3 linked regions of the Lonchura striata genome follow. The main gene of each other region encodes a partner of the protein of the gene in region 3 in a complex. Links are inferred from orthologs where the notes say so. Each region holds a gene or a part of one and is shown on either strand. Other genes may lie near its edges. The genes, in order: FGFR3, FGF23 and KL.

Region 1 (8,082 bases), on a different chromosome or scaffold from region 3:
GAATACTAATGCAAATTGGACGGGCTTTTTTATATTGATGTCTATTCTGTGGCTGCTGAATAGAGTGACCGCATGCTCAAGGCTGCAAAGGAGTTCACTGACCTCCCTAATCATCTCTGTCATAGCCCCTGAATGACATACACATTCAATCCTGCCTCGCCTCTCTTACTTTCATTCATAAAAAAAAAAAAAAAAAAAAAAAAGAGGGAGGGGGAAAATTTGACATTGTTCTTCCTACAGCAGCTCCGAGAACGGGAGAGAAGAGAAACTCAGCCCAGATGAGGCCCCTGGTGTTTTTAGTTTAGCTTCTATTCAGCAACAGCCCCGCCATCTGCCTCCTTCCTGCCAACAGCCGAACACCTCCCTGCGGAGATGTTAAAACCTGCACCCCCTCCACCTCCGCTAATAGCCAGTATTCATATTAGCAAACATACACATACCTCGAGAATGCCTCCCTTCAATGTGTGTTTTATGTAGCTGAGTATAGGCACAAAGCAGTAGCTGTTATAGCCTTCACAGCCCCGTGCGGAGAATTAGATCACTGGGGAAAAATCCTTCCAAGCCCCTTTATGGAAAATAAGGCCTTAGACTGTAAATGCAAAGCCCAGCGAACAACAACCCTCAGTAATGAGCCAATACCCCATGGCCCATTTGACTAGGAGAAAGAATTTGCTTTTTACCATTCAATTCAAAAAGACTGAAAAAGTAAAATGTGTTTTTACTCGGCTCTGAAGGTTTATATTCTTTACAGTTTCTTTTGCACAACCTTTCCCCCCCAGGTCGGACAGGCAGCGGGTGCCCTGACCGTGGCAGAGCCGCTGGCTCTGGCACAGAGCTGGGGAAGCAGCAGTGGCTTCACGCGTCCCCACGCACGTGGAAGAGGTGGCACAGCCACTGGCACTGAAAAGCTCTGTCTCCCCTCATACTTCCCATCCACACGAGTTTTCAATAGCTCACAGTGACAGGGCAAGACGTTGCTAGGGGTTGGGGTTGACGGGAACCCTCCTGGTTTCCTGAATCCCATTCCAGGGCGCAGAGCAAGAGTTGACAGTGACATCTTTCATTTAGAGAATGCTGACCAAGAGATAACAGAGACTGTCCCGAGGATTTCCACGGGAGGCCCTGGAAACCCCAACCCATCACTCACTTCACAGACATCACTGGAAGGATGATTCCCTCTGTGTGACCTCCGAGTATGCCACTTGCTACGATTCCAACAGGATCCCAAAGCTTTAACTTGCCAAAGTATCGTAGAGCACGGGAGGGGTTTAGCACCACTTAACACATCGTCGACCCCAGCTAAGGGCTGAATGAAAGAAGCCCAGGGACCACTGAGGCAGCCACCGAGGTTGCTGCTCACCCCCACGGGATCGACTGTGTCTGAAAAGTGACAGCACCAACACGGACCTCAGGCTAAGCCAGAGAGAACTGGGGACACTTCGCTTCTGTCACTCGCAGCCCTGTGGCCAGCACAGGCTGCTCGCCGCCCTCCGCACACCGACCTCATCTGCTCTGACCAAGTCCCTGCCATGTTGCCCCATAAATCAATTCTTTTGGCTGTGAAAAATGAGCCAAACGAGTTACACTAAGAATCTGGTGTTTTATTAGGACTTTCTTAAAAACAAACCCAACCCCCTGTGTGATTTATAGCTTTAACCAAAAGGGGTATGAAAGTAATGCCCCCTACCCCCCAGCCTCCACGAAGTCCATTTATTCCCCTGTCACTTTTTTGGCAAACAGGCTTCGAACCCTTTCCTGAACAATGGAAACTTTCTGCCGGGTACATGCAAACCGGAGGACAGGGGGCTGCGAAGGGGCTCCCTTCCATTAAAGAGCTTTGAAAAATAAACAGGGACTCAGGTAGCAGCTGAGGCGGATCACAGAGACACGATGCTTCAAACCCGCCGTATATTACTTGGAAAGAAAAAAGCAAAGCCCAGCTTTTGCCCGACGTGTTAACTTTTTTTCACTTGCAACTGCAGTGCTGCCACTCCAGGGGAGATCCTCGCCGGCTCTCCCGAAACGCACTTCCCTTCTCAGCACGGCCGCTCATTCAGCTGCAACCCAGCCTGTGCCTACCCGGAGCTGTGGCAACACCCCTTTTGCTCCCAAGATGAGGACATAAATGACCTTTCCTTACTTTTCCCACCCGAACACACGCAGTCAGAGCATTCCCGATGTGTGCCGAAGATGCGCTGCTACACACGCACGCAAGCATCTTCCCAGCTGTTACCCACGGAGCGCCCCATGCACCGCCTGGCTGAGAGAACTCCTGGCAGACAGGGATCCTCTTAAAAGCACTTTGTCCCTTCTGGGCGGCTTTCAGACTACCCCGATCCACGGCGAGGTGGAACCGCCCCGGGCCCGCGTTCGTAACTCCCGCTCCGCCGCCGCCTCCAGCGGCCTCCATCCACCCGCCCCGCTCCGCTCGCTCCCGGACGGGGACTCGTAGCGCCGAACCCGGCCGGGCCGTCCCCGCAGAGCACGTGTGTGCGCGGCCGCGCAGCCCTTACCTGCCGGCTGCCCGCCGCTCCTCGCCGCCGCCGCCTTGCCGCCGCCCCGCCTTGCCGCCGGCATCCCGCCGACGGCCGCCGCCAGGCACAGGCACCAGACGGAGCCCCAGGCCGCCCGCATGCCTCCGGAGCGGCGCCGGGGCAGCGCGGCCGCCGCCGCACCGCCCGCCTCAGACATCCCCCGGCCGCCGCATGCTGCCGCCGCTCACCGCTCCGCTCCGCCGCCGCGCTGCCGGGAGAGGAGAGAGGCGCTCAGCGCGGGGAGGAGGACGAGAAAACCCCCCGCCCCTAGTGCCCACACAGAGGAGGAACAGGAAAAATAATAGTAAAAAGGCGGAAAAAAAAGCGGTGGGAGCAGTAAAAAAGTGCAGGGGGCCGGGCGAAGCCGTGCGCCGAGCGGCGGCGGGGCGCCTACCTGCGCAAGCCCCGCGGCCGGCCGCGCACCGCGCATCGAGGGAGGGAGGCAGGGAGCGAGCGCCCGCAGGAGCCGCCGCTGCCGCCCGCCCGCCGCCGCGGCGCTCCTGCGTCTGCTCCCAGCGCAGCGGGCGCGGAGCGGGGCGGCCGCGCTGTCCCCGCCCGCCGGGCCGGACCGCCCGCCCCGCCCCGCCCCGCCCCGCCGCCGCCGCCGCGGGGGGCCGCGCCCGCCCCGCGCCGCTCCGCGCCCGGCCCCGCGGCTGCGCGGGGGGGCGGCCGGAGCCGCGCGGGGCTGCGCCCGCCGAGCCCTCGGGGCGGAGCGGCACCGCTTCCCACAGACGTGAGACTGAAGTTGGCGCGGTGCTCCCATGCTGGATCCCGCGGCGGTCACCGCGCGTCCCCTTCTCCTGGCCCTGGAACAGCGCGTTTTCTGAAGAGGCGGCGGGAAGGGGGATGCGTGGGATGGGGACAGCTCTGTGCGTGCAGCAGTTCGGCTCAGCCTGGCACCTGAGCAGCAGATGGCCCATGCACCCATTTCCCCTCCATGGCTGCCACTCCGTACCCCGAAGTGAAGCCACCCGCTTCGAGCCCCCTGACTTCACTCCCCCACACCCATAATCGCTGTGATACGTGTATGGGAATCATGACAGGCTCCACGGCTCTCTGCGTGTCTCCTCTGCCAACTGAAGTAGCTGTTTTAATAAAGTCTGACTAGATGGATCTAGTCACATTTACAGTCACCACTGCAATGATCTAGTCACTATCACAGTTATAGTTCGGGTTTTTGTGGTCATCTCAGAGACCCCCGACACGGCCGAGCTGCTGAAGCGACACGCATCACTTACTGCTGACAGCGAGCTGATCTGCCTCATACAGAGAAGTCACAGCTCTACTTTAATCCCACTTGACACAGCAGCTCGTTCGCTGAAAATAGACGCAGATATTATCAGAGCTGAAAATGCCCTGCAGAAGGGGCCCAAAAAACCCAACCTGCGCTAGAGTCAAGGGGAGTTTTTCTGGGTGAGAGGAAAGGCGGGCGGTGCGGAGCTTTGGCTTGCAGCGAGGGGAGCGGCGGCGATCGCTCCTGGCCGCCGCGGGGGGCTCGGCGTTCGCGCTGTCGTCGCCGCAGCCGGGATCTCTCTTGACACCTTTATCAGGCACAGAGACTCTGACATCTCAATACTGTGGCATTGTGTGGGGAAGCATTGAAAGGGGCTGCGGCGAGGAAATCCTACATGTCAGTGGAGACCCTCGCCAGTGACACTGTCGGTTTTAAATTAAAACAACGGAGGGAGAAGCAGACATATAAATAAAATGTGCTTATTTCACCGTCACAGAGAAGGTTTGGCAGTACGTCAAGCTGTACAATGTTTGCTGTCATAACTGCTGTGCTGGAGGTGCCAGAAAATCACAAAAAATTAAAACAACAGCAGCATAATTATAACACTGCACAAGGAGTTGTTGGCGTCATTACTTTGAAGGCAAAATTGCAAAAGCAGGGCCAAATTCTGCTCTCAAGTAAAGCCATCAGGGTAGGATTGTTGTTGTAGCGTTATTTTTCCTATTGCTGTTAGTATTGTTACTATTACTACCTCAATTTTCCAAGAGGAGAGCAGCAAAGGAGGACCAGGAGCTTTCCTAAGTTTGCAGAAAAAAATAAAAACGTCGGTGAGAATTCAGTGAGGTTTTTCACACTGTAGCTGAGTTTTAAAAGTGCCACAGTGATTGTTGCTTTCTGTCAGGCAAGGGTAAAAACTCTCATGCTGCTCCAGGAGTAACAGGATGGAAACAGCAAATCTGAACCCAGAGAGTTTTAAGGTTACTGGGAGATGTGAAGGTCTGCACCGTGTATCAAGTTAGCTCAGCCCTTTAATGATTTTGAACTGGTTTTCATTTGGAAAAAAAACCAAGAGCTTATAACATTTGGAAGCTCTTTACAACAGGAAATCAAATGGGCATTAAGATAGTCCTGTATGAAGAACTTCAAGGTTTGCAGTTTTCCCTACAGCAGGATATTTTTAGTTTTCCTATTTATTAACCATGCGGAACATTCATGTGGTGTTGGGGAGCACAGACCCGATTAAGTACAGATTTTTTTGATGCTGCTTTGTCACAGTGGTGGCCACTGTAAGAGAGCCCAGGATGTAGTGCTGTGCAGCAAAAACTGCAGCTCTGGACTGTGTCTCAGCCACTCTCTTACTATAAAAAAAAAAAAAAAATCCATGTACATAGGCTAGTAAAGCCTGCACAACACAGTTGCATTTATTTCAGCACTGTTATGCCATAAGCCATATATTAGCCCCAAAGTTTTTCTTCCCCCTCAGGCTAGGAGCATATGCACTCCCCTCCATGCAGGGATACTTTCTCTGCCAACATGTTTGTTCTCCTTTTACCCTTTATAAGAATTCCCTTCCCAGACCTTTATATTTGTTTATCCCTTTAATATCTAAAGCTGCCTGTGATGAAAATCAAGCCCCTTTCAGCAGCTCAGGGATGGTGAGTGGTAGCCCTTTTTTGAGTGAGTGGCTTCAAGCCTGTCACTGTCACACACCTCCATCTGCCCAGACCCCACTGGGGGCTCAGCCACGGAGACTGGATGCCCTGGGACAGTTTTTGCAGAGCCTTGCAGGCCCTGGGGGCATTTGCATGGCTAAGCCCCCTCCCTCCCTTCATGCCTCTCCAAAGCCCTACCTTAGAGGGAGGCTGCTAATCTCTCTCTATTAAAGTGCAACCTGTTGATAGTCTCAAATTAAGTTACATGAAGGGTTCTGTCAAAAAAAGGGGACCAAAATTGGCTCCAGGTGTGAATGCTTTAAGCAGTCCCTTCTGCCTCTCTGTCTATGAGATGGGGACAGGACGGGCTGTCAGATGCTTGTCCCAAAGCCCTCAGGACTGAGGCTCTGGAGAAGCATGGAGAGAGGCTTTATTCATGCCAATGTCAGCCTTGATGACATTGCTGTCAGAAAGCCTGTGATCACTTCCCTTCTCCTGCAGCCCACCTCGTGCACTGTGCAAAGCTCTCCCCTGCACATCTGAGCTGCCAGATGTAGCATGGCAGCCAGAAGGCTCAGGCACCAGTGCTGCCCTCAACAAGGATCTTGCAAAAATTGCCCCCATACATCTGATACTCACAGGAGCTGCTTCCTTAGCCAGCAGAAAGCAATCCCTGAATCAATACTGAGTTAGAACAGAGCACTGAAGTAGGTGAAGCTTTAATTCAAATTTTAATATGCTGGCAAGTTTGATCAGAGTCTCAGTCACTTAAGCTGCTGAATCATATCAGGTTAGGTACACACAATAAATATTCCCAAATATTTCTTATCAAAACTGGGTCTTGTTAGCTGACTTGTGAGCCAGACTGGGTGTTGTGGCCTCACAATGCTGTAACACGCTGTTCCTTCAGCCCAGCCGAATGCTACAAGTTCACACAGAACTGAATTGAAATATTGGTTCAGAGATCAGTATCAGTGTGCATGACTAGAATCCAAGCTGTTCACCCTTAACCTTCAAGGGTTAAATAGCATCAGTGGATGCCAGCACTGGGGTACATTTTCCAGAGCTCATGTCACTACCCATTTATATCAATAAGGTGCATTGGAACGGCTAAACCGCTTTTTATTAGCTAGCCAGCCCTTAGAACTGCACTTCCAGGCTGGTTTATTGAATTTCAAGCTCGAAAGTCATTGTTGCTAAGATTAAGGTTCCAAATGATTGTCAGGGTAAACACTGTGAACAGACAAACACCTTGTGAAGGATCTCTCTGTGCCTGCACCCTCTGTGAGCTGGTTGCAACAAAATCTTATCCTGCTGGATTTGTTTCCCACTGAACAGCATGGAACAGACAAGGAATAAGGGGAAGGAGTGAGTTGTTTTATCTGAGGTGAAATAAGAAGGAACAAGTGAACTGGAGCTGCATGCTGGATCTATTCTGCAAGAGCTTTGTATGGGAGGTGCTGGCAGAGGTAAAATAATTTGTCAGCCTGGAAAGCAAAGCAGGCAATTGGAGAAAGTTGAGAAAAAACAAAACAAAACAAAACAAAACAAAACAAAACAAAACAAAACAAAAACAAAACAAAACAAAAACAAAAACAAAAACAAAAACAAAAACAAAAACAAAAACAAAAACAAAAACAAATAACTGGAGCAAGCCTGTGGAGGGTTTGAGAAGCAGGGATTTAAAATCAGACCTTGAAATAATGCTGACTCAGCACAGCAGCTGTGTGTGTGCAGCCAGGGCACTGCACCAGGGTCACAAGTGCTCTCAGAGGTGTCACTGACCACCTGCACGAGCTGGGTGTTGCCTGTCCTTGGAGCAAACCCTGGCAGCGTGCTGGAGCCTGGAGGGGATGAGACAGAGATCACTGCTGCCTGCCAGACCTCTTCATGCCATGGGCACATAGGATATTTCAGGCAAATGTGTGTGCAGCAGGATTGCCCTTGGGGTGTAGCAGGGCACCTCACTTTGAGGGGCATTTGCAATGAAGCCTTAGCCTGTTTAATCCCTGAGCAGACTGTGCAGGCTGATGCCTGTAAGGAGAAATCACACACTGCCAAGATGAGCTTCTGGGAGTCCAACAGCTGCCTTTGAAGTCTTCTCTCCTGGATGTGGCCAGAGACCACCAAAGGGCACCAGCTGCCCATCCACCCTGACTGCTCACCTGCAGCAGGGGTTACAGAAATTTCCCTTTTCTGCAGCCCTTTAGAGCTCACACACATTGCACTCTACCCCAGGTCCTGGCCCCACTGTATTATTGTCTGGTGGCTCTCCTTTCTCCAGGGGTTTTCACCTCTTCTGCCCCACTCCAAGGTAGGGAAAGGGATGAGTAGTGAGTGGCATGGGAACTTTCAGAACAAGCAGTAACATCCTAAAATAAATACAAGTTCAGGTTTTCCGTCTATAAAGGACAGCAGAATTATGGTCAATATTAGTTATTATTGTTATGACTTTTAGGCAAGCTCTTTCTCAGTGTAAGATTGACTTACCTGGGAGGAAGCTCAAATTCAGTCATGCTCAATTCTACTTTAATACAGCCTGTATGCTCCCTCAAGCCAGTGCTGACACAGTGTTGTGTCTGATACCAACCCAGCCACATCTAGAGGCTGTCTTCTTGCAATTCCCATGGTAGTTTTATTTTTCCAAAGGGCATGGTGCAAG
Region 2 (7,920 bases), on a different chromosome or scaffold from region 3:
TGATCCAAATGTAGATCAGAGTTGCAAGTCCATGCTTTCAGCAAAGGAATTTTAATGATAAACCCTGTTTTCTCCCTGAGGGTCCCTACCCATGGCTCTGTGCTACAGATTGGTACCTCACTGGATCTCATTTCTGTAATACGGAAAAGTAGGGGGTTTTGCTGTTGTTTTTGTTGTGGGTTTTTATGTTTTATTGTGGTTTTGTTTTGTTTTGGTTTTTTTTTGCTCATTAACCCAGGCAGGACCTCAGATGATTTTGTCAGCTCTACTACTTAATACAATCAAAGGAGAGAGTAAAATTTGACCTAAGTGTCAGATCTTCTCTAACACTTCCCCCTCCACCTGCAGCTACCCAGGCTTGCCCTGGCTGGGGAAATGGGCACCACAGCAACAGAATGCACTGGCCATTGAGCCTGAAGACTTGGGAAAGGTCACTCACCGAGCCAAATATATTTCCTTTCATGTCCATACACAGGTAGCGTCCACTCTTCACACCTGTGATTATTACTGAGCCAGCACCCTCAGACTTGATCATTAGGGCACCTATTCAGAACAACAAAAACATCAAATCCATTTCAACATTGCATTTACAGATCCATGGATGCTCTGACTAGAAATGACCTTTGGGAATTCAAACCAACCTCCCACATGACCTGGGACTGTTGCCCACCCTAAATCAGGTTTGCTGTGGTTTTGAAAACTCCCAGGATGGAGTGTGTTACACTGTTCCAATGTGGCACTAACCTCCTAAAGACAACTTTTTTTCCCTCTGAAGTCCCAAATCGTGGTCTGAGAACATTGCCCTCAGTTCTGCCATTGCCCACATCCAGGGGCTGTTTGCCCCCCTCATCTTTTGTGACTGCCCTGTGGTATCTTTTCAGTGGTGCTCAGCAGTGGCACCAGAGGAATCGGCAGGAACAGATAATCAGATGGAAGTTAACACCTGGACAGGAGGCAGAACTTCTGTCCTGTGCAGTGGCTGAGCCCTGAACAGATTGTCTGGAGAGGATGTGGAGTCTCCTCCACACCTGGGGATATTCCAGAACCATCTGGACACAATCCTGTGCCCTGTGCTCTGGGATGGCTCTGGTGGAGCAGGGAGGTGGGACCAGGTGACCCACTGTGGTGCCTTTCACCCTCAACCAGTCTGTCATTCTGTCATTACATTGCCCTTAACATCCTTTTTGCTGGACTAAAACCACAACAGATCATGATCAAGGCCCCCTGAAAACCCTGTGCCAGACTAGCCCTACCTTCTACTCATGCAACATGAACTGGGGTTGCTGTAGTGCTCCAAGAGCAATGTTACTGGTGCCAGGTAAAGTGGGAATAAATAACAACTTTGCTTGATCTGCTCCTTGCATTTGACTCAGTGCCTGTTGCCTTGTCCCACCCAGGAGATTGCACTCAGGCCATGCCACCCTGCTGGAGAACTTGGCATTCCCCATTGTCTGGTGGCTCGGTGGCAGCAAATCAGTCACCCTCCCTCTCAATACCCCTTTTGTTGTCTGATTTTCATTTTTCTTGCTCCACCATTCTGAATCCTGCTATGCTTGTTTCATGGCATATATGGGAAAATGTGATATTTTGCTGTCTCTTGTTCTCTAAAATCCCACACTGGTTCTTGACTAACATACCTAAAATTAGTTGTATAAAATCTTTTAATATGTAGGAAGATTAACAAGACAGTGCCAGCATTTCTGTGAGTGTTGCATTATCAATTCCTTAAAAAAATAGCAGAATGTGATCCTTTTTCCTCATCAATTAAATTATAATTTTAAAAAACATCCTTATTTACTTATGTAAAAGCTTCATTACCTAGGCTTAGATTTTTAGCTGATTGTATAAAATAGATGTAATAATAATACTAATGATAATAATAACAAGATTTTTGACAACAACTTAGATTTTTAAATGAGTGTGTAAAATAAATGTAGTAATAATAGTAATTAGAATAATAACAACAACAAAAAGCTGATTTTATAATGCATAGCTACTTGTGATTTGAATGCTAAGAGATAAGTATTTTTGAAATGCTATAAAAGTACCCTAAGTCTTAAACCCCTCCTACATTTGTCTACTAACTAAAGAGTTTGGGCCAAGCATTTAGCAAAGGAAGAAGAATAAACTATTCTCTGTTGAAATAGAATAATAAAATATATAATAAAATAAACTGTGAAGACACAATTTGAAAACCTTTCAGTGATAGCAGGGCATAGTTTCTTCTCATGAACCCCAAAGTCTTAACACTTCTTTTATGCCAGTCTGGTCTTTCATAGTTTCCCCCTTTTTAATTGATCTTTACGTGCCTGTGTTCTTTGCACATTGAAACTTAACTTTTAGTAGTTTTCAGCCCTCCACCCCAAAATACAGATTTTATGGATGCCATCAGTTTTCCAGCACTGCTCTGGTGAATTCCCTCAATGTAATTCCTTTGGTATCACCATCAGTGGGAAGTAGCTATTTGGAGGATATCATTACCAACCTCTAATAGGAACTTCCACCAGAAACTGGGGGTAAAATCATGAACTGAAGGATAATTCAGGTGGTTTTTCCTTGCAGGATATTATAGGAACCATAGGACTTTAGTTATCCTAGGTAAGGAATGAAAATCCCTATCCACTAGATTTCTTTAGAGTGATTTTATTTGTTAAACAAAAGGAGAATTATAATGATGTATATTTTCCATCCCATGGCTGTGCTCCTCTGCCTGCCTGCCTAATGAGAAGAAGGGATTTTCTATAGATGGTGAGGAAGTAAAAATTCTCATTGTCCCTCCCCTGCTCCCATGGAGGTCTGTAGGAAGCCACTTACTGTAGATGGTTTGGTGAGGAGCACCATCAATGTAGCCATCAGCGTTGATCTGGAGGTGGAAGCTGCTCCTCTCGGTGTCGGTGTAGAGGTGCATCAGGCGGTCTCCATTGCCCCAGCTGGGACTCAGCAGTGGAGAGGAGTTGGGAAAGGCAAGGGAAGCCTTTAGGCTGCAGAGCAGCAGGAGCAGGGAGCTGCAGGGAATGCCCTGGAGAATGGCTCGCCACTCCATGGTGGGTCAGCGTCTGCTCCTCACCTCCCCTCGTGCCTGGAGTTTGAATCCTCCGACAGGATCCCTTCTTCTCTGCAGAGGCTTATAAAGGACAGCAACATGACATCACACAGGAAAACCTTCTCCACATCCTTGATTTTTGGCAAAGCAACATTTTAAGTGTCCCGAAACCTCAAGGGAAGGATCTCTGGCTAAGGTGTGTGGGGGAAAAATGTAAGGTTTCTAAAGACAGCTCACGAAAGCTAATCATATGTTCAAATGTTATCTACAACCCTGTGACATCTGAAAGCTTCCCACGCCTCTACTGTTGGATCCAGGAAGGGCAATCCACTGCACTTGAACTGAAGGGAATGACCCTTCGGACCTGAATTATCTTTCTTTTTTGCCAGATGTGTTTATTCAGACTCCCACCTCCCTTCACTGTTTCCAAGCTGCATTCTGATTTACTGGAAACATCAAATGCAGCTAAAATTTTGTTGCAAATGTACCAAAAGTTAATATTAAGCTGTCCTGAGCCTGATTCCCCCTTCATTATGGTCCATGTTCCACACCAAGGCTGTTGGGCTGATATTTGTATCATTTGATTCAAGTGAAGGGAACTTGATATGAGTGGAACCTACTTCAAGTCCCTTTTATTTCTTCTGTTTCCTTCTGAATCACATAAATAATCTAAAGTTGTCCAAAACCAGCTGAAAATAATGTGTAAAACACTTAAAAGCTGGATGTTTGCTCCTGCATTGCACATCTGACTGGCAGTTCGTAAAAAATGTTCCAAGATTCAAGACCTGCTTCTCAGGTGTCCTGCCAATGCTGTGGGTCTTTACAAACAAATTTTCTGATTTAAAAAAAAAAAATATGGTTCTATTTATGAAATAGAAAATTAGTACATGAAAATGCTGTACTAATGGGAGACTGGATATGGGTGAATCAATTATAGGAATGACAAGTTCCAAAACTGGACTGTGTTAAGGTTCCTTTCAAAATTTAATATAAATTTGACAGAAGTACCAAACAATAAATTAATATTTCTTTAAAGAAACCTGAGGATTTTAACTGTAGCAGTGTTAGGTTCAGTTTTAGTTTCTAGCTGGACATAGCATGAAAACTTCTTTGTTTCATGAACAAGCTGTGGAGCTGTATCATCAGCATATAATGGATTGATAAGATTAATGGATTGGTATAGCTGTAACCCACTGCAGAAGTGGATCTGATTTCAGTTTTTTTATTTTTTAAAATTAGTAAAACCCTGCCAAATTCTGCTGCCACACCTGTGTAAATCCAGAGACTTGCGTCAGAGTATATTCACCTGTGTAAATGACAGCACTTTTTAGCCAAAGTGTATAAGGGTCAGATCTTAAACTGAGCAGGCTGACAAAGATGGTTGCCCTGAAAGACAATCCAGGCCTCAGATGTTTTACTGGTTATAACATCTAAAATGCTTTAAATTAAAAGGTAGCTTAGAAGGAAAGGAGAGTTACTTTTAAATTAAATATCTCTATTTACTGTTAAAATTATCCACACATATTTTTCACTCTGATCCTAGAAGAAATGTTTGGGTTTTTTGATTGGTTGGTTGGTTGCTCTGGTTTTTTTCTTTGCCCCTTTGATTAGACTCCTATGGAAATGTGGATATTGATACCTCAGTTGTAGAAGTGTCTCACAGAGGCTCTGTACCCTCTTGGAATATTCTATCTTTCTTTTGTGACTGTAATTTTCCTGTTTTGATGTTTCATATTCACCATGACATTTTGTTGTGCTTGCCAGCATGCACTGATCTGATCTTTCTCCAGTGCCTTGGTGGCACAGAAAATATTCTCAGATGTTTGAAAAATTTATTGAACCTCATTTAAGCACATGCCAGTTGTGATAATCTGTTTCATGTTTTATAATAATCAGACAAGCAAAGGCTACTTTTACAAGCTTAAACTGTTTAGCATTTTCTAAAGTTTCCTACAGCATCAGGAAAACTCCAGACTTTACTAATCTGGTGGGCTAAAGTGAATTTATTAAGTCCCTGCTTGTGAGAATGATAATACAAGTTCTGCTTTTTCATAGACTTTTTTGCTTTAAACCTATAAATGCCCACTACATGTGGTTTGTTATGAGTTTTTGGGTTTTTTTTACAGTCCATGTCTTTTTCATTTTAGGCTGATCTATTTATTCCTTCTGTGGCTATTTCACTTATCCTCTACCCATTCAGCTGTCAATGGGGTAGCCAGGTGTATGAAAGCTGCTTTACTCCTTCAGCCAAGTCTGTTATAGTAGAAGTGATGACAGCCTTTCTTGTCTTGCATGTTATGCTGATGCATCAGCAATAACAATATTTCTGCAACTTTTACCACAGGAGTTGGTATTGATTTTTCATGTTTCTATATTGCTCTGTGTGTTTGATGAATCAAGGTGGCTTTTCTCAGTTCTCAGCTAAGAAATTGCTGATAATTAACAGAAATTGCTTGTTGTAGGGAGAAATAAAAGGAAAAAAATGGGATTGAATTTAAAGATCACAACCATTTTACATTGCCACATTTTCCACTTCCCACTGCAGGGGTGCTACACTGCCAGTGTCAGGTGCCACAGCGGTGCAGGGGCCTCCTTAGACGTACCCTGGAAAGGGAGCTGGGACACAGCCTGGAGGAGATAACACCTATTGTCAATGTCAGGAACCAAGGTAAAGGGAGGAAATCCTCACTCCAGAGCAAAAGATGAAAGAAGATGGGTAAGACAGACCCCAGCTTTCAGGATGAAATTTATTTAAGATAATAATTAAGCAACCTGGTCTAAAGGGGAAATGTCCCTGCCCATAGCAGGGAAGTGGGTCTCACTCCACTCCCTCCCTGCCATGCCTTTGTCCCAGGTCTACTCCTGCTGCCTCCTGCTCCTTGCTCCAGAGGCAGCTCAGCTCAGGTTTAGCCAGGTATGCTGGTCACTCACCTGGGCCAGGTGCCTCAGCTGGAACATGGATGACACTCAGGCCTTCCTGGTATCATCATTTAACTGCAAAAGGGTACACAGAAAGAACTGAGGGTCACAGGAGCAGATTGAGGTCTGACTTTCCCCCATTTTGACTGCTTTGAGTTTCAGCTTTAGGTTATTTTGCAGTCCAGACTTACCACCTCAACTCTGTAAAGCCCTCAGCAGCTAAATATCATTCCTTGTGCTGCTTTCTTTTACTGCTTATCCCCTCAGTTCTGGAGAGAGCTCACAAGGCAAAGGCAAGCTCTTTTTACAACAGATTGAAGTTACTACAAGTGACGTGCAGTTATCTTTTGGAAGGGCTTTGTGGACCATCAGAAATTTGCGGGTTAAAAAAAAAAGTTTTCTGCTCAATCTGATGGATTTGCCTTCCAGGATTCTCCTATGAGTAAAACTACACGTCCCCTCACAGTGCAGGAGTTCCTTTCATCACGTAGGAGCACCTGTAGCACTCTTGCCTAATAAAGCATATTGACTTATATGTAAACAGGTGGGTGGCTTGCCCTTTTGCAGCATTCTGTGCCATCTGAGTGTCCGTGCTGGCCTCAGGAAGCCTCTTGCTCTCTGCTGCTCAGCTCACACAGGAGTTTGGGTTGACAGATTCGAAACTACCTCTGCTTTTAATAATTTCCTTTGCACTGTATCTCTTCAAAAAAGGTCACAGAAATTAGGAGCTTGTCCCTCTGCCTCCTTAAAATCACTGTTACGAGTGGCTCTGGGATGATCACACCCCCAGTTCTGGAAGCACAAGGGTGGAGTGCCTCTCCAGGAGTTATTCTAGGAATACTGACGCACTGAGCCGAGGGAATGTACAGTGGATGCTCTGTGTGTGTGTGTGTGCAGTTGTCTTTGCCACAGACTTCACCCGGTGTTGTTAAACACATCCTGAGTGACCTTATTTGGAGGCCCCATTCTTGTCACACTGCCCACGACTAAAGAAAACATCCTGGCTCGGCTCACCTACGTGAAAAAGATGAGGTAAGCACAGCCCACTGGGTTCAGGACCGCAGCATGTACCAGCAGTTTCTGCAGTGTGCCTGCTCTAATGAACTGAAATGAAGGGCCTCATTCCTCCTCCAGCTGAAATCCTTGGCACAGATCCCAGGCAAAGCAGAACCAGTCCCTAAAAGGTTTTGTTCTCTGAACAGAGAGTGTTTCTGTCATTTTAAGGGGTCTGAGTTTTCTTAGGTGTTGTGGGAGATAGGACGGGTACAACTTGTGGTGATAGCTGCTGATACCCTCAATTTCAAAAAAAATCATAGAATCACAGAATGGCCTGTTTGGAAGGGATCTTAAAGATAATTTCATTCCAACTCCCTGCCATGGGCAGGGACACCTGCCATTATCCCAGGTTGCTCAGAGCCCCATCCAGTCTGGCCTTGGACACCGTCAGGGCTGGTGCAGCCACAGCTTCTTTGGAAAACCTGTGCCAGGGCCTCATCAACCTCACAGTGAACAATTTCTTCCTAATATCCCATCTAACCTTGCACTTCTGTCAGTGTGAAGCCACTCTCCCTTGTCCTGTAACTCTAGGCCCTTGTCACGAGTCTCTCTCCATCTGTCCTGTAGCCTTCCCTCAGGTCTGGAAGGCTGAAAAATGTTCTGTTTTGGTGTTAAGGCTTGCAAGGCCTGAAATTTGTCTGGATTCTGAAATCTGCCCTGTGCACACCCAGTCCTGCTGACCTGCCTGCCCAGGCACTGTGTCTTGTCTGAGAAATTTTCACTTTTCTCCTGGTGTGCTTGCTTCCAGGTGCAAAGGAATCCTCAGGACGCAGATACACAGCCTCAACGAGAAAGTCATTTCAGTCATCCATCTCCTATTGTAATATGCTACAAGGTGCCTAAATGCAAGCTGATGGTTTTATTTTAGGAAAACTCTTCAGTTTATGTAAAGTTTCCTATTT
Region 3 (7,019 bases):
TAAATAAGAGGAAAAAAAGTCAGAAGTCATGCATACTAAGACCTAGTCTGTACATTTGCTGAGAAACGATTATGATAACAAATTCTAACTTCAAAAAAGACCAAACATGTTCTACAAATTCAATTTCCCTGGAGAAAAATAAAATACAAGAATGGCAAAGAGAAGGAAAAAGGATTAAGAAGAAACCAGGGATCACCTCTTATGATATAGGGAGCAAAAGGTTAGACGATGAAAGGGGGTTTCTTTGCATGAGAGGATTCAGCCACATCTTTTGCAGTGGGTCTAAGAGGACTGTATCTCCCAGCAACACTGTCCAGCGCTGAACACATGCTGCAGCTCAAGTGATAAAGCAGTGTTGCTGTGCACCCTTCTGATACAAACCAAAGATGCGCACACTCCCAAAAAAATGCCCAAACTCGCCTACAAAATTATACAACCCATAGACACATATTAAAGAACAACATTCAAGTTTCAAGGTCAATACTCTAGACCTGTGCAAGACAATTTAATTTCCACGTGAAATGCAATTCTCTCTTTACCATCTATGGTAGAACTTTAATCTTTTCTTACACAAACTCACATACTTTTTCTATGGATATTAGGCTGTGGAAGCCATACAATATAGCTTCCTCCTATTTCACTGCTTGCACAAGTTAAAAGATCTAATATTAATATGCTACAGAGAAGTAAAAAGGAGAAGGAGAAACAGATGAAAGCTGTTCACTTCTCTGTGCTGAAGAACTAGGCTCTACCTCTGCCTCCATGAAGACTCTTACCTGGGGAAATCAGGGATGTGAGCTCCTCTGCACATAATGTATGTCTCTCATTTTCTCTGCAGGCGATTTGCGATTTGAGGATATGACTTGTAGAAGAGCTGGAAGTATAATGTAACTGACCAATAATCTACAAAGATCACACACCAGAAAAAGGACACTGACAACTAGTGACCACTTTGGCTCTTAAGTGAATCTGTGTTTCAGCTCCTCTTTCATAAAATGTGGGGGGAAAAGTGGTATCTTGCTGCCTTCCACTGTACATAAAAAGAAATGTTCACTGATGTGCAAACCCTGACTGACAGCCACTGGGACAAAACTAAATACTACGGTTCCGTCACTAAAGCAAGCATTGGTAGACTTTCCTGGTTTAATTACACTTTTGACATGGCTTGGCCAAGACTGTGGCTCAATTTCTAATTATTACATAGAAAAGTATCTTTCTTCACAGAGCTTTTATGAGAAGAACCACATGCTTGAGATTATGAGGGACTCTGATACTATGGTGATGCAGGATATACTCAAGAATGAAACATGGCCAAGTACGACCATGGTAACTACATAAAGAGCTTAAAGTTTTCAGGACGAGGAAATTAACCTGAAATTCTACCCACATTTTCTCCATCTCTATTTTCCCTTTGACTTATTTGTAACATTAAAGAATGCAGAAATAATACAGGAAAGTGGAAAAAAGTCAAATAAGGCATGTGTTGGAAGTTTTCTTCAAGCCTACATCTAATGCACAATGCTTATTAGGATATAACTCCTGCCAGAATGTGTGTGCTGAGCTGACAAGTATTAGCAGAAATGTAAATGTATATTGAAGTACAAGAGATCATGCCTAAATGACCACCCCATTCCAGTTAGGAATCCCTTCTCCTGTCATTGGAAGGATACATACACACTTCTGCTTAACTCAGAAAATCCGCATGGGTTGCTCCCAGCAAATACCACAATTACATAATAGTACACAGAAAAAAATGAAGTATATAGAACTACTCGTGCCACTTACAAGACTAATTGGGGAATTGTGGGTCTCTTTCCTCAAAAAGTGCTCACACTCAAAAAAACATCATACTTTGTCAAGAAAATGTCTCTGTACGACATATTGGCCACTTCTACCATCTCCAATAATTCAGTAAGCCTTTTCTATCAAATACACAAACTCTCTTTACAGTCATATTAAGCATTTCCAGCTTAAGAAAGGCAGCACTGGAGTGGCACAGTCCAGGGACTGCAGACCCTCACTCATGCAGAATAGCAACTGAACTGCTGCGGGCAGAAGCGGACACTACCGCAAAACAGAGTTCTTTAACTCCACCAGCTCAGTCGCAAAGCTCCTGCCTTACACCGAGTTTTGCCTCCTTTGCCCATAGATGTGCTGACTTGTGTTCCATACCGGTGTGGGACCAGCGCACCGGAGTGCCGGTGGGGCGGGCTGAGCGGGGAGCCGCGTTTACCTGCAGCAGGTGGTGGGCCGCCAGGTAGCCCAGGCGCGGGCCCCCCCGAACGCCGGGCGGCAGCCGCCCCGTGCCGTAGCCGTGCCAGGCCACCACGTAGGGGTTGTCCATGGTCAGCCAGTAGCGCACCTGCCCGCCGAAGTGCCTGAAGCACAGCTCGGCGTAGTCGCGGAAGAGCCGGGGCAGGACGGGGCTGGCCCAGCCGCCGAGGGAGTCCTGCAGGGCCTGCGGCAGGTCCCAGTGGTAGAGGGTGACCACGGGCTCGACGCCCAGCTCCCGCAGGCGGGCCAGCAGCCGCCCGTAGTGCGCCAGCCCGGCGGGGTTGGGCGGCGCCGTCCCGTTGGGCAGCAGCCGGGCCCAGGACAGCGAGAAGCGGTAGTGCGAGACCCCCAGGCGCCGCAGCCCCTCGACGTCGCGGAACAGGTTGTTGTAGCTGTCGCTGGCCACGTCGCCGCCCAGGGGCCCCGGCGGGGCGGCCCCCGGCGGCGTGGCCGGGCGGTGAACGAAGGTGTCCCAGACGGACGCGCCCTTGCCGCCCTGTCGCCAGCCGCCCTCCGTCTGGTAGGCGGCGCTGCCCGCGCCCCAGAGGAAGCCGTCGGGGAAGGTGTCGTGGAGGAAGAGCTGGTCCTGCGGGTAGGGCAGCCGGGCGAAACGGGACCAGGTGCCCGCACCCTGCCCCGGCGCCGCCAGCCCCGGCCGCCACAACAGCAGCAGCAGCAGCAGTGGCAGCAGCGACGCGGCGAGGGCCATGCTCCCGGCGGGGCTCCGCGACGGCAGCTCCCGCCTCCCAGCTCCCCGCTGCCCCATTTTATCTCACCTTGCGCCCCCGCCTTCCCGCCCTGATGGGCACGGCCATTAATAATTACCTCGGAGCTGCCGCCTGCATCATTCCCAGCCGGTTCCATCGGGGAGAGCTGCCGCCGGGGGCGGGAGCCGGGGCGTGAGACGGGGCGGGCGGGGAGGAAAGGGGGGAAGCGGGGCGTGGGCTCCTCGGGGAGATCCCTGTCGCCCCTGGGTGCCCGTGGGTACCCCGGCCCCTCAAAGGGAAAGATCCCGGTCCGCGGGCTGCAGGCGGGGTGCCGCAGCCCTTCGCCCGCCCCGCCGGCTGCCCGCACCTCGCTGCGACTACATTGTCCCCTCGGAAGCGGGACCCTCGCCGCTGCCCTGCCGACTGTCTTCCCGTCGGAAGGGCCCGCGGAGACTCGACGGCCGGATCCGTCCGCTCTGAGGGGATGAGCGTAGCCCCTCCCGTGCCCCGCTGCAGTGCCGCCGTCGGGGGGTCCGTGGGGCAGCGCCCCTGCGCCCGACCGAGACAGGGGGAGCGGTCCCGGGGCTCGGCTGTGGGAAAGGCGAGGAAATAAAAACGCTTTTCCCTTCCCTCAGTGTTTCCGTCGTGGTAATTTAGCAAGACACATCGCACCTGGGATCTCTCATGTAGCAGCAGTTGCAGAGAACTCGTTGTCCAAGGACATCATACGCTCACTCCTCCCCGCCTGCTTCCCGGGAATTCATGGGTTGTCACCTCCCAGTAACAACTCTTTTGTTTCCTGGAGTAGGAGGTTGGTATATTTGGTTGCTTGCTGCACAAAAAACAAGTTCCAGTTAGAAATGCCTCACGGATCTTTACGGAGAGAAAACAAATCGAGTTAAGTTTGATTACTGAGTTACGTTTAGTAACCAACTGAGCAGGCGTGAGGCACAGACTGCTCTGTAAAGGCAGGTCTCAAACTGCCCTTTGCGTCTCTTGTGGACAGAACCATTTAACCATCGGGGAGAGCTGCCGCAAGGGCGAAGCCAGAAACACCCCAACACCTTGCAGAACCTGGTATTCAGTGGTGTGAACTCTTAACAGGATTTGGGACACCTAAGAATAGAATACATCTACTAGACAGGCTGTTAAGCACAGAGACATGTTCCCAGGAGATAAGGCTGAATGAAGGCCTTTAGGTAATTTAATTTTATTTTTAGAAAATAAACTTCCCCAGGGAAAAATTACAGATAATTGCTGATAATGAGTCAATGGATTTAAATGCTAGTTGTGAACTAATGAAGGTTTCTTTTTGTGCACAGGATGGGCTCTCACCTCTCCCAAATTCAGGCAGGGCAATTGCCCTGCCCGTGCCCGTTTCTATAACCTCCAACTTCCATATTTTCTGCACTGATCCAGATCAGTTTTAGGGATTGATTTGTGCTGTTTTTAAAGAGAACAAAGATGTAGGAGACAGAATTGGAATTAGTCTTCCATTGTGGCAATTATTATTAATTGCCATGTTAGGGGGATGGAGGTCTCAACAGTTCAGGGGACCATCAACAACCCTTCCCTAAAGGAGAAAGTTTGTAAAGCAGGAACAGGAGGTGGCAGGCCCAGAACCAAGGCTGGACATTGGTTTCCAGGAGTGAGTTTGGAATACAGTCTGAGAAGGTGCTGAAATTCAATTACAGTCTGAGTACATGACAACTTCAGATACAACAACAGAAAAAGATTGTTGGCATCAGCTGCTAGTTACTTGCAGAAACTGGAGATTGTTAAGTGTACTGGGGCATTGCTGCAATTGTCCCTGTGCAAGGAGTGGCTCCTGTTCAGCTGCAGACCTGATTTCAAGGGAAGCATAATGTCTTCACTGGATTTTGCTGACAAAGTATTTTAAAAATAGGAATGCACAGGCATGTGTCAGAAACACCAATACCTAAATAAAGATATTAGTGATGGTAAGTCTATTGGTAATATTTAAGGAAAAAAATATTGAGTATCTAGGGACACAAGAGATTTTGAAATACATATAGTATATTCTTTCTTCATGTGCTAATTATTAACTAAAACCTAGATCAATCCTATTTGTACTTTGCAAGAACCAATAAGTAGAGACTGAACTAAAGCTCCTTCACTTGTTTCTTCCAGAGCCTGTCAACAGTCAAGGCAAAGAAATTATTTGTTGGTGTTACTCTAAGTCAGTCTAGAGAACTTCTGAAACATCTGAGAATGGCTACATTATCCAAAAATTGTCAAAATACAGTGGAGTGTACTCCCGAAGCAAGAAGCCCATTTTTGAGGGACAAAATCTCACCATAAACCATTGGCATGAAGCTGTCCCTTCAACTTTGACTTTACCTGCATGTCTGACAGATGAAAGCTTTTTTTTTTTTTTTTTTTTTGTGTGTGTGTCTGTGTGTGTGTCTGTGTGTGTGTCTGTGTGTGTGTGGGGGGGGGGGAGGGTAAATAACAGAAAATGTGCGGTGTGGCCTCTAGTTCCATGTGTTGTTTTTGGTTTTATTCTTAGAAAGCTTGTTTTCTTGTCTTAGGACAACAATACAATTACCAACTGCTTTGAGCCAATTTTTTTTTTTTCCTAGCAGACAGCCTAAAAAACTCTGTGCAATATTAACCATGCAGAAAGGTCAGCCAAACACTTGCAGACATTCAGGTCTCCCTCGTTACTCCTTGAGTTCAAAGTGTGGCTCCATTTCGTCCATGTTGCTGAGCAAGCATGCTTTCAGTCCTGCCCCAGGTAAGCAGATCAGGATTTGATTTTCAGCCTCTTTGTATTGGTGATTACTGAACATTCAACTTTTGATAATATGTATAATGTATAGTATTGTGTCATTATAATCTTCCTTCAGGCTGTGCTGAGATTTTCTTTGCTCGGTATAGAGTCAGTGCATGCAATCAAACTTGACAGTGTTCTGACTGAGCAGTTCTGTTTATATCCCAAAGGGGATGGATCTTCTGGGATACTTAATTTTAGGTAAAATAACTCTATTACTGCTTTAGATTCATTTAACAGCTTCCCCTGAGGTAATACCATGCTTCAATGCAGAAAACCCCTTTATCATTTTAAGATCTCCAGAGAAGAGCTAGAAGCCATATACCAGTAGCATTTGTGATGGAACAAGTGATCTCAGTGCCTAAAACTACCATCTCCTGTTTTAATGCTCCTTCTCTGTTCACAAACATACTTCCAAATGCATACAGCCATACAGCCATGTGAAAATGGCCTTATGTAATAGATTTTGCAGTCTCAGCATTTCCTCTCGGGACACAAAAGTATTTGCTAACACTTGGAAAAACTGCTTAAAAAAATCACCACCTGATTTAGATTTGAGTGTTTTCTCTGCTTCTGACATCGCTGCATAACAGTACTACTTCTGTGTTCTGTCTGTTAAATGCAAACTGCTAAGCTGTGAAATTTTACTTCCACTTCCTCATCAATAGCTGTTTCCACTAGAAAGATGTCCAACAGCATTCTAGATTTACCTTCTTCATCCCTGCCCGAACACCACAGACTACAAGGCAAATAAGTTCTTTCTTTTGCAAGTCCAGTTTCCTTGAAAAAGTGCAGCCTTCCATACCTGTTCCTTCTTTCTCACATGATCACACTACTTAAATGCATTTACTGTACATTCAGAATTACCTTAGGGACATTTCATTGTTTTGAAATTAGAAATTAGTGTGTTGTCAGGTTCAAAATAAACTTGCTGATGAAATAAATGCAATGCTGTGGAATGCTTGGGAAGATGTCAAATTCTCCTCTATCTCTAAGTACCAAGTCACTCTCAAGTCCACTCCAATGGCTTATTCTGAATCATGGGCACTCTAGTGCGTCGATGCATGGGTAAAAGAAGGGATGGGCACAGATGAAAGGAAAAGAAGTTACCTCTCTCCTAAGAAGAGGGGTATTGAAGAAGTGAGTACAGCCTTGCTCTTCCAGTCCTGGGCAGGAGACATGGATTTGTCTGACAAGAGGAGTTCAGAGCTGAGGGAGAAGAGAAAGGACAGGAATGCCCCTTG

The links.
Region 1: the proteins of KL (region 3) and FGFR3 are in contact, whole or in part, in a cryo-EM structure (PDB 7YSU), measured with the Homo sapiens proteins. The link is inferred for Lonchura striata from reciprocal best matches to the Homo sapiens genes KL and FGFR3. Residues at the interface, in NP_004786.2 of Homo sapiens: Ser539, Gln540, Phe541, Thr542, Asp543, Asn545, Val546, Tyr547, Leu548, Trp549, Asp550, Val551, Ser554, Lys555, Arg556, Leu557, Val563, Lys566, Arg568, Tyr571, Val573, Ala576, Pro580; in NP_000133.1 of Homo sapiens: Gln286, Leu288, His290, Val291, Val293, Gly299, Thr303, Pro304, Tyr305, Val306, Thr307, Val308, Leu309, Lys310, Glu320, Leu324, Ser325, Leu326, His327, Asn328, Val329, Glu332, Asp333, Thr338, Leu340, Phe347, His349.
Region 2: the proteins of KL (region 3) and FGF23 are in contact, whole or in part, in a cryo-EM structure (PDB 7YSH), measured with the Homo sapiens proteins. The link is inferred for Lonchura striata from reciprocal best matches to the Homo sapiens genes KL and FGF23. Residues at the interface, in NP_004786.2 of Homo sapiens: Phe377, Lys385, Leu389, Glu390, Pro392, Trp417, Phe418, Ser420, Lys429, Tyr432, Tyr433, Lys436, Phe437, Arg468, Ser471, Ile472, Arg556, Arg693, Asn694, Met695, Thr696, Tyr697, Ile735, Val752, Phe755, Asp756, Asn782, Asn783, Leu785, Ile812; in NP_065689.1 of Homo sapiens: Leu39, Met74, Ala80, Val88, Arg91, Leu166, Ile167, Phe169, Asn170, Ile173, Arg175, His177, Asp184, Ser185, Glu186, Arg187, Asp188, Pro189, Leu190, Asn191, Val192, Leu193, Lys194, Pro195, Arg196, Ala197, Arg198, Met199, Thr200, Pro201.

What each region holds. Positions count from the first base shown.
Region 1 is NC_134606.1:8,143,058-8,151,139, reverse strand, and holds the start of FGFR3 (fibroblast growth factor receptor 3), read right to left. Parts: upstream 3,005-8,082; 5' UTR 2,929-3,004; intron 2,743-2,928; 5' UTR 2,692-2,742; coding exon 2,514-2,691; intron 1-2,513.
Region 2 is NC_134607.1:483,559-491,478, forward strand, and holds the start of FGF23 (fibroblast growth factor 23), read right to left. Parts: upstream 3,044-7,920; coding exon 2,815-3,043; intron 544-2,814; coding exon 440-543; intron 1-439. UniProt on the Homo sapiens protein: Regulator of phosphate homeostasis. Inhibits renal tubular phosphate transport by reducing SLC34A1 levels. Up-regulates EGR1 expression in the presence of KL. Acts directly on the parathyroid to decrease PTH secretion. Regulator of vitamin-D metabolism.
Region 3 is NC_134604.1:67,245,716-67,252,734, forward strand, and holds the start of KL (klotho), read right to left. Parts: upstream 3,041-7,019; coding exon 2,234-3,040; intron 1-2,233. UniProt on the Homo sapiens protein: May have weak glycosidase activity towards glucuronylated steroids. However, it lacks essential active site Glu residues at positions 239 and 872, suggesting it may be inactive as a glycosidase in vivo.